2 linked regions of the Kluyveromyces lactis genome follow. The protein of the gene in region 1 purifies or fractionates together with the protein of each later gene. This does not show direct contact. Links are inferred from orthologs where the notes say so. Each region holds a gene or a part of one and is shown on either strand. Other genes may lie near its edges.

Region 1 (4,987 bases):
TAAATGACGTTATCCTATTGCCTGCTTGAGCCTAATGATTGTAAGACGAGTTCTTTTATAACAGTTAGAATTTAGAGTCAGGAGTTTAAGGTTAGATATATCAGAGTAATCCAAAAGCATACCTACCATTTAACTAGAGTCAGTTTCCGGTCGCTACAGAAGCTGGCCACATGAATTGTTTGAAGAATGTATGTGCATTCTCGATATGTATGTTGTTCTCGTTTAACGTCGGGGCATGAAAAACAAGCTTTGTAAATCGATAAACTTAGAAGAAACTACACACCTTCAAATGCAATAAAACGTAAAGATATAGAAATCACTTGAAGTGGACTAGTGCGAGCTAATAAAGGTGACCTGCAAACTAATATAACTTTATAAGACCTGAAAAGGCCAATATGGAGGAATTACGCGCGACGGTGCTGCGTCACTATTTGCAATTGGAAAGCATTATGATCGCTTGGATCAGAAAAGTAAACTTTCTTAAACAATACACTGATGACCCGCTAAGTGCCCGAATAACACTTTTTCTTGTGGTGATGGGAGGATTTGCTCTTGTGAATGAACTCTACATAACAATTCAAATGAGTGCCTTACAAATGGATACATGGGAACAATTGAACAGCACTAAATTGGACGAAGATTTTATTAGAAACCATCGATTCATACATGACGATTCGTACCATGCCACAGAATGGTTTGATGAAAAATCCGGTCTCATAATCGAGGAGTTCGAATCGAGGGAAAAGTTCTTTGCCAAACCTGTGCATGTCGCTCACATATACGTTAGATGCCAAGTTATCGACGAAGATACCAAAAAGCTTCTGTTGGATAATCCAATCACATTCCACATTGAATTCTCACCAGAAGAATTCGAAAATGAAAAAAGACCAGAGTTTGGTTGTACATTAAGGCTATTAAAATCAAAACTTTATCACTTCTTTAAAGATGGTCACTTTTATGATCAGTTCAAACAGCCAAGCAAAACCTTCACCATTACCAAAAATGTAAAAATCTACAACACCATGAGCGAGGAACTTCCAAAAAACCTCGACGATATTCAATTGTGTTTCTTAAAGATGGAAACTGGTGACACTATAGACTGTGAGTTTTTGGTGTGAAAATTGCAAGCTGCCGTTAAATGCTTGAAAACATAATGTGAATATAGGGAACCCATGCATATATAGTATAAAAGATTATAGATTTTGCACTAAATCACTCCTTCAACCCTCGGAACACCAACATCCGAACTATGCAATTGGTTTTCACACCAAACCCAAAGTTTCATGATTTGTACCAATCTAACGTCGTTAGGGATATAATAAGAATGCAAGTTCTCACCTAACTCTTCAAAGATTTCACCTTGTATGCGACTCATGTCGGAATTGGTGCTCATAGAACTTCCCTGCTTTTCTTCAATATGTGCTAGCTCTCCGGTAAGCCTTTCTGTCGTGATAGATTCCCTTGGAATGGATCGTATAACGTTTGTTAGAGTGGGAACTCGATTTGATTGGAAGCTGGATCCTAAGATGTCAGGTAAACCAGATTTTTCGAGTTGAGAGTTTATCCTCGGTAATATCGATTGCAAAAGCTTTCTGTTCACTAGATCAGCTACTTTAGTTCTCATATTTAAGGAATATAGCTGTTTCAACTTCTTTGGTAACTTAGCAGAAGGACTCGAACCATCCTCATCCGATAACGGGAAGAGAAGAAGGGTCATAACTAATTCGACTTCCTTCATATACTCTTTTTTGGAGCTTGCTTTCAAAGCAAGTTTATCCTGAGCATAAGAGATAAGCTCTAATATAAACTGCTCCTGATCGTTAGGGTCGCCCTTGGCGTTGTGGGAACGAATCATTTCAATAAGGTTCAACAACAATAGCTTGAAGTTCAAATCTTCATCTGTAATATGGTCATTCAAACTTTCGAGTACCTCTATTCCAAATACCTCGGTAATCTTTTCCATAGCTAGTAAAATTTCACCCTTCTTGATAAGTTCCTTGATGTATGCCCTTTTCTTAATCATATATACAGAGTTGAATTCTTCAATGTCTTTGTTGGAATTCAAAAACCCAAGCTCCTTAGCCATGCGGATACTAGATTCCTCATATGCCATCACCACAAAATAGTTCAATAATAACATTGGTATTACCGGCTCATTATTCGACAACTCACTGTTGCTGCGATCATAGGGATTGGCGTCCTGCACCACTTTCATCCATTGTTCTCTAGTGAAAGATTTCTTCTCATAGGTAGATTTAAAATTGGTCATCGTTTGTATGAAGCAATAAGTCTAGGGAAAACTAGATTGGCTTATGCTTAGCGCAAATAGTATAGTACCACTCTTTCTTTCAATATTAGGGGCTAAGGAAGTCTCACTTTCAACTTACAATTAGGTGCTCATTTTTTTGTTTTTCTGTTGATAATGCCCAGTTTCTTTACTAAGTGATGTTAAGGTTCATTTCGTGAAAAACCTTTGTGAATAAATAAGGGAACAGGCCTCTGACGACGAGGAAATGGGACAGATCAATTCTGAAAAGAAAAGGAGTTCATGTAGATATCAAATCGTGGTTTGTAGCTTCAGATAACAGTAATCGAGAAACTTCTCAATTTAAATCTTCTTGAATCTGGACTCTTTTTTTTGTATCTTTCAAGTAGAGGGAAACGATTCATGAGATGTCACTCATAGCAGCTATAGTCGACATTTTACGTAGTAATATACAAAACAGTAGACATATCGAGGGCATAACACAGATTTAAAAACTTTACAGTTTCAATATTCATTGGTTTAGGATCAATAATGAAATGGAGGAGGCAATCCAAGCCGTTTCTATATTCTAAATTGAAACTTACTTAGATTCTGATGACAAAAAAGTGTCAAATCAAATTAAGGAACTGAAATGATCTATACAAAAATGAAATGATATAAATATATGCGTACTTTTCCGAGTTCTTCGAACATCAAATAAGCCAGGTATTTAAGGCCAAGAGTAGATTCGAAACTAACAGAGAGGTAACTCGTTAGATTGCAATCTCATTATCATTCAATTGAAATAACAAAATAGAACCACAGAGCCAAACCAAATTTTTTTGCCAAGACACAGTCGATATCATTTTGAATAATATATTCGTTCAACATTGCTTATCACACATACACATAAATAGACATACGGCTAGTCAGTATAATTGTTATTATGACATTCATGGAAACTATGACAGCGTCGCTGGCACAAAAGGGGTCCCAAAGTCCCAAATCTGGTTCTATTTCATCATCTGCAACTCCTACATCGAGAACACCTCAATCATTATCCCAAAGTGTCAGCTACCATAGTGTTGCTTCCATCCCAAATCTATTGAACTACGACAGGCAGAACGATTCGAGTATTCGGACAAACAAGACGTCACAAACAAACATTACCGTTTCAACGACAGGAAATTTTCTTTCGTCGTCAAATTCGTCACCGCAAATTAGTCCTCGTCAAAGGGACTACCATTACGGTGGTCACTATAGAAGTGGATCCCTTGATTTTTTGGCTGACACTGCGATCGACCAGGATATGAATCAAGAAGAATTCAAACGGATTTTGAAAAGACTATCAGAGTACAATGAACAGTTGACATTTCATTTGCTGACATGGAGTTCCCAGAAGATTAAGGATGTTTTGGTCAATGATCTCACCCAACTTTCCAACGAAACAAGATCTATGTTAAAGGTTACGAATAGGTTGTTAGAGTTGAAGAACATGAACGATTGGAACAGGAAAAAACCGCAACTCCCTAGTATTAATCAGCTTAGAAACGAGCTACAAAAGCCAATGACAGAGTTTCAATTCCCAATGAGACCCAGGAGTAAAAATGTTTTCAACGTCACAGTAAGAAAATCTGAAGTAGAAATCCCAACCGCAGCTACCAACACTAAGATGGAAAAGCCGGTCATTCAAGTTGTTGGACATAGAGGCAGTAAAAGCGATAGTTCCATCGGAGGAACAAGTCATACTTTTAAAGTAGATAAAGTCAAACCAAGGAAACGCAACAGCGTTTCACAGCAGCAACGAATGATTAGCGTAGCGGCAGGAGATGGTACCGAGTCATGTAAACACTGTCATGAAACCGTTACTCCCGAATGGAGAAGGGGGCCTTACGGTAATAGGACCTTGTGTAATGCATGTGGATTGTTCTACTGCAAGTTAATCAGAAAATTCAATACAAAGGATGCTAACATTCTCATGCATTACAGAAAGATGAAGGGTCCAGAGGACAGAAGAGTTCCTGAAAGCTTGAACGTTCCTCGTTCTTTTATAGAATCATTAGAGAATAATGATAACCTTGATGATAATTTCAATATTAAATCAAAGACAACGCCTGAGTGAAATTGTCAACGAAGACATTTAAAACTGTAATAATAGTAAAAGGATATTTTGTTTAACATTTTTTTCATTCTCATGGCGGACAGACTAATTTTTATTAAAATAATAAGTAGTTTAATGTAACAATGAGGATTATATGCCATTGTTTATTGAGATCCTTTGTATGATTTCCATATTTCGAACCATCGTGCCATTTCTCTATATTGAGAAAGGTTCACAGTAGGAATAATCTTATCCCACTTAAGTTTTGTTGAAAACAGACATAAGTCCTTAAATGAAGAATGTTCGGAATACGGGACGTTGAAATGGTAGATTTTGCCCTGCGAACGTTTTTGTTTGGTGAAATAATCAATGGCAAATGGTGTCTCTCCCGACAATGTGTCCTTAACCCAGTTTTTCCTTTCAAATTCATCCCAAAGTGTATATGACTTATCATATTGGTTTGAAAAAGTCCAGCCAGTGGGTCGAAATACCACTATAGAATCGAACATATTGGACAACTGAGAAAGATATTTATCCAAATCTGTGTGCATAGCAACCAAGTGAACATTGGATGACTTATGGTCAGTGGTGAGTAGACCCTCTGGAAACCATGAGATGTATTGTTTCACCAGCTGATATTT
Region 2 (5,924 bases), about 1.0 Mb from region 1:
GAGGACGGCAAACGAGTACACATATGACGACTATGACTATGACACCTACGATTTCAACTATGACGGTGAGGATAACTACTATTATAATAATAACAAAAATAAGAAACAACCAGCTATGGACTACGGTGATGCAAAGCCATCTAACTTTTATGCTCCTCCATATAACAAAAAGTCCAAAAGGTCCAACTATAATCACAGTAATGGCTCATCAAACGCACCTGCTCCTACAGTCAAGGGTAAAGTTTTACCACCAAAACCAACGAGATCACATCCGTTAGATTTCCCAAGAAATCCTAACGTCAATATTCCTCGTTATGGGAGCAGCTCATATCAACCCTCAAACGATAGATATAGAAAGTATAACTCCTACTCCGGTTTCAAAAAGAGAAGGTGATTCAATATAGATACCCCAAATACATATATATGTGTAACCAAGTCTCGTCTCAGAAGAATAGCAGAGATTTTGAACAATATTGTACTAACTAGCGTAATTTATGGAAAGATGAAAAAATAGTTGCAAGCCAACTGCGTTTTCTCGGCTGCTGTTTCCGCGAGGCTTATATATTAGGCTTTCCACAGACACTAGTACTTGTCAAATAATAAACTGAGCCAAAAATAGAGAGCGATAAAAATAATGGTTCCTAGCGGGATCGAACCGCTGATCCCCGCGTTATTAGCACGGTGCCTTAACCAACTGGGCCAAGGAACCAAATTTGTTGGAAATGTCGTAATATAGACTGAGGACAAGCCAGACGAGAGGTCATGTGGGCTAGCCAGCACACGGCAGAGTTCCAAGACGTCAGTGACTGGGCATATGGATCCTGTGGTATCCAGAGGGATGGCATAGATGGATCATAGACTGTCACGTGATGGTCTTGAGTGCGCGTGGAGGACGGTAGCTGCACAGGACCTACAAGGGCATGGAGGCAACGAGTTGCCATGACGAAGTCTGACGACCATCCGAGTATATAAGTCGAGTATAAAAGGCTGAGCTATGTTGCGACCTCTTGGGGAGGTTGGATGCAACAAGAGAAAGAAGAGCAAGGACGCATAAACTCAACGATCTAACTAAATAGATTATTATATTATATTCGTTATATTGTTTGATATCAACGATCCCTCATCAGGCGATTAATCAATCAACTATCATCCAAAGCATATCACTACAGAAAAACAAAAATTCTAAGATGTACGTGTATACTTAATTTACCATGTGACTTCATTTTCCTTCCATGTTGATTTAGATAACGAGATATAGCTTGTCAAAGGGGTGTCAAGATATACATTCGCTACTGGCTTTCAAAAGCCTGTACTTGTTTCGGTATAAGCATTCACAAATGGTCTATGTGGCTTCAATCATTTTTGTCATATGTATGGCGTTTCCCATAGTTTTCTTTAGTTGATAATTGTCAAAATTTGAACAATGAATCATACCTATTAATCATCTCAATTCACAACATTGGGATACAGAAGAAGAGCCTCGTAGGTTTCCCTTATACTCCCAGCAGTGTATTATCAAAAGCTTTTGAAACATGTGTCTGTGCTGTATCTGCTGTACTGTATCAGATTTGATACTTTATATTGTTGCCATAATATTCCCACCGATTGCCGTGGGATTGAGATCGGGTTTATGTTCCAGTGACTTACTATTAAACGTGTTGCTAACTATGTTTGGGTTCCTCCCTGGAATGATTCATGCTTTTTATTATATTACCGTCACGTCACCGCTAAGGACGGATACCGAAACACGTTATTATTATGAGCAAGGGTGGAATGACGGACAAAGATATGGAAGCCCATCTGCGGTAACGACCGTTTCTCATCAACCCACTGGTGTAGAAGATCCTCTATTGCCAAGAACTCAGATTCCTCTAAGATATGAACCAAATAACTACGCTCAGGATGTGCCAAAGGGTTCTCCCCCACCATACACAGAAAGTGTATGATTAGGGGCGGTTAATTATCAGCACCTCATTTTTTTTTTACTTCTGCTATTTCATGATTGTTGTACATCTTCTACAAGGATTACCATTATATTAATTAGGGTTTATATTAGCTGCTATTCACGTAAACGTATAGATTATTTTGACTTACATTGTTGAAAGACTTCTAAGTTTTGGATCTTTTATTCATTTTAAAAACCTCAGGAATTACCATTCCAGCGTCTCTTTTATTGGATAGTGAGTAGTTTGTAATCAATATTTGGTCAACAAAGTTATCCGATTGTTGCGTTCTCAAACTATCTAATATCTTCATAGTACCTAATCGTTGGCCAACTTTGAATTCACCCCTCAGTAGTGCGATATCTCCCGTTAACGTTGTTAAGATGGAATAAAACTCAATATAATAGTCAGAACCATCTTGTTTGAACTGATTTAAAACTAACCCAATATCATTCACTATTCCTACACGGAAGTTTATTACTTTAACAGCCCCGACATCGTTATGTAGTAGATTCCTTGTACTTCTTAGCTGAAATCTATCCACCAACAATATTCCATTGATATCCCAAATCATGCAAAGGGAATCAGTAAGCATGAAAAACTTGATGAATGAGGAGAGATTATTTAAAGCTACATGAGCATCTCTGTCTTCTTCATTTACTTCCAGATAGTCATGTATTGAATCTAACTTCATCAGAGGCTCGTCCACGTATTTAGGACGAAAAGCGTTTACACTTAAAAATTTGTCCACAACAACAACATCCATATCTCTGTAAGTATCTGTAAGAAAAGAAGTTGCAGCTTCATACCCTGTCGAATTTGTTTCACCGTCGAGGCTTACTGTCTTTACCACTTGGAAATTTATAGGGAACGTCTGTTTCCGCAAGAATTTTAGAAACCGTTCAGTTTGTGTTATATTAGATTGGTGTTGGGTATGATTATCTAATATCTCGGTAGAAACTCCAAGTAATGAGAATGATTGGGAATCCAGCTCCAAGTCGACTACAGTTTCATTTCTAGCAACAGAATCGCTTTCATTGCGATTATTTGCTTCTTGTTTTTTGTCATAAAAGAACAATTCATGTAAGCCATCTTTCATATTACCTTGTTTTTGCCTCCAAACGGAGGAGCATTTGAATTCACAAACCATATCGCAAACCAGCATTCCCCTCCATACCCTAACATCTTGTTCCATGACAAAGCTTGAACGATCTCTCTTCAAATATTCTTGAAAAGCTGTCCCATGAACCGCTCTTGACATAAAATCAAAACTGGAAGGTTCTGAAACCCTTCTGTGCTTTTTGGAGAAGTACTCATCTTTAAGCTTTACAAATTCTGAGAAGAATGTCGTATACACCTCAGGTAAGAGTATTTTGTGAATTGTTAACGGCGTCTGCGGTGCCACGGTGATGACACTGAATCTGTCCATCGGGTTGATATGAAATGAGCTAACATCTGTCCTCAAAAACGTAACAAAACAATTTGAAAATGTCGGTACAGGGTCGGGATACCATTGTTTTATCGTTTCATGGAAGAATCCGTCTTCATTGATAGGATAACAATAATAACAAATGTGGCCACAACTATGTTCTTTTCTGAATCGAGTGATTTCTTTTAAGCTCCGTTCTGCAGCTGTTGCGTCAGAAGATTGTACTATGTCCGATCTCCAAGAGAAAGAATCTCTATACCGTTTATAGGAAGGTGATGCTTGAAATTCTTCGTCTTGAACGTAATCGTCTGGTAAGTTCAATATGAACCCAAATATGTCACCAACCGCAGAACATACATATAGAAACTTATCTTTATACTCTAAACCAACAATGGTTGTATCATTTGTAGTTATACTCGAAGTCATTGGTACGCAAAATAGTAGAAAATCTGGTCGTAAAGGAACGTTATTGGTTACCTTAAAATTGTAGTCCTTTATTATTTCGATTATGCCATTATTCCTTGCAACCAAAAGAAAGTCTGAATGCTCTTGATTGTGCAGATATTTTGATGTCGGTACAATAGGCATACTCCTTGGTCGTAGATAACAGAACTTTTGTATTATGCTATTGGTATCAGCAGCCCGATTTTTGGTGTTTACCTTCAAAGGATGGATCCTGTCATCTTTACATTGGAAAGCTCGGTAACCTGAAGGAGTTGTCTTCGAACATGATGGTTGTGAAACCAAAAAGGTGAAATTCGATTGCATTCAGGTAATCTTGGCTGGATATTATAAGGATAGCGTTCCACCTTCTGGGTGTTTTCACTTAAACGTCTTAGTTCGACTGAATAACGTTCATCTATTGAGTTTTGTGAAATTGAAAGACTAAAACCTCATCGCTAAATCTTCGATATAAAAGGACAGACGATATAGAAATTCATAAGCAGCAGAGAACACAACAACGTAAAATTATGAAGGTTATCTAGACCCCAATACTGTCATGAACACATGCGGAGCGTGCTCAATCGAGGAGGTCACACATCTATTCAAGCAGGTGGACAGAAATTAATATACATCGGCGATTTGATACTTATGGTAAAGGTCGACATCTTATGCTACGATCTTATAGTTATCTAAGAATTACCAGAAGATACATGACAGGTATAGGGTGGAACGAATCCGAAGTTTTGGTAGATAGAAAATCCAAGTTTCAAGCAAGGTGCCATGCTATCAAGAACCTGTCTGAAGTTGATAAGTTACTGGAGGTATTAGTGGAAAAAAATAAGGCCGTCCAAAAGGCAACGCACAAGCATATGTATGCATGGAGAACGGCAGATATTATACCCCCCGAGCACAATAAGAAAGGAAATAAGAAGAGGAAAAGGGGTTCATTGACAGTGCCTGGTGAACTGACAGGGCCGGCAATGTTAAAGAATATACAACAAGGATCAAATGACTGTGGTGAGGCTGGTGCAGGACAAAGACTTTTAACCTTGTTAGAAAGAAGTCATATTGCTAATGTTTTAGTTGTTGTTACAAGATGGTACGGTGGGACAGCATTGGGGCCCGCTAGATTCCGACATATTTCAACCACAGCTGTGGAAAGCTTGAAGAAAGGGAAGTTCTTGCCTTAACTATATTTTAAAAGTTTCCTATATGAACCTCATTCTGCAAACGAAAATATGTATATACGACATTATCCTAAAGGAATAGTATCACGTAAAGCAATACTTGTAAATATAGTCAACAGATGTTTAACAAGCCTATTAAAAAGATGTGTGCTCTCAGAGCCAGTGTTCATTGACATAACATACTGAGATGGAATAATCACTTCTGGGATTCAGAATCGTATTTTGAGTATACGTCAGTCCAGTATAATCTCAAAGCTGGATGTTGCAAACCCAATTGAGTGATCTTTTGGACTTCCTCATTAGCCAAAGAAAAACTAAAGATATCTTGCGCTTGTTGGATCCTTTCGATCTTCGAAGACGTAGTTACTGGCAAGATTCCACGCTCATAGACCCATGATAACAAGATTTGAGCCTCACTCTTGTTATACTTCTTTGACAATTCAGCGATATATTGGTAAAAAGGTAGCTTATCAGCATCTTCTGGTCTTCTTTGCAAAGGACCTAATGGTGAGTAGGCCTCAAGTAAAATACCATTCTTTTGACTGAATTCAACAATACCGGGAGTTTGATTTTGCAAGAATGGAGAGAATTCAATTTGGTTCACCTGCGGTTTAACCTCTGCCACTGCAAGCAATTTCTCCAAATCTTTTACAGCAAAGTTTGAAACACCGATGTTCTTAGCCTTTCCAGACTTGTATAGTTCTTCCAAATACTTCCAATTAGCCTCGACATCCAATTTGCTTTCCTTAATTATAGGAGAGTGCAATAGATACAAGTCCACGTAATCAACACCGAGCTTCTTCAATGATGTCTCTAAGGCAACTTTAGGGTTCTCAGAAAGCTGTTTCAAAGTAGAATACTTGTCAGTGATGAAGATTTCATCTCTTGGCTTCTTTGTATCCTTCAAAGCGGCACCCAATT

Evidence for each region. The genes of interacting proteins can lie anywhere in the genome.
Region 2: the proteins of GID8 (region 1) and GID12 purify together in Saccharomyces cerevisiae (affinity purification with mass spectrometry; 3 studies listed by BioGRID). This does not show direct contact. The link is inferred for Kluyveromyces lactis from reciprocal best matches to the Saccharomyces cerevisiae genes GID8 and GID12.

What each region holds. Positions count from the first base shown.
Region 1 is NC_006042.1:1,568,572-1,573,558, reverse strand, and holds GID8 (glucose-induced degradation complex subunit GID8), read right to left. Parts: upstream 2,270-4,987; coding exon 1,208-2,269; downstream 1-1,207. Other genes in the region: ERG29 (Erg29p), read left to right, coding at 396-1,118; GAT2 (Gat2p), read left to right, coding at 3,192-4,367; DNA cross-link repair protein PSO2, read right to left, coding at 4,511-4,987. UniProt on the Saccharomyces cerevisiae protein: Component of the GID E3 ligase complex recruiting N termini and catalyzing ubiquitination of proteins targeted for degradation.
Region 2 is NC_006042.1:560,475-566,398, reverse strand, and holds GID12 (Gid12p), read right to left. Parts: upstream 4,141-5,924; coding exon 2,110-4,140; downstream 1-2,109. Other genes in the region: KLLA0_F05896g (zinc finger CCHC domain-containing protein), read left to right, coding at 1-394; SNA4 (Sna4p), read left to right, coding at 1,533-1,946; KLLA0_F05797g (uncharacterized protein), read left to right, coding at 4,485-5,006; KLLA0_F05775g (aldo-keto reductase superfamily protein), read right to left, coding at 5,200-5,924. UniProt on the Saccharomyces cerevisiae protein: Regulator of the GID E3 ligase complex. Modulates both assembly of the substrate receptor GID4 into the GID E3 ligase complex and its activity toward its substrates.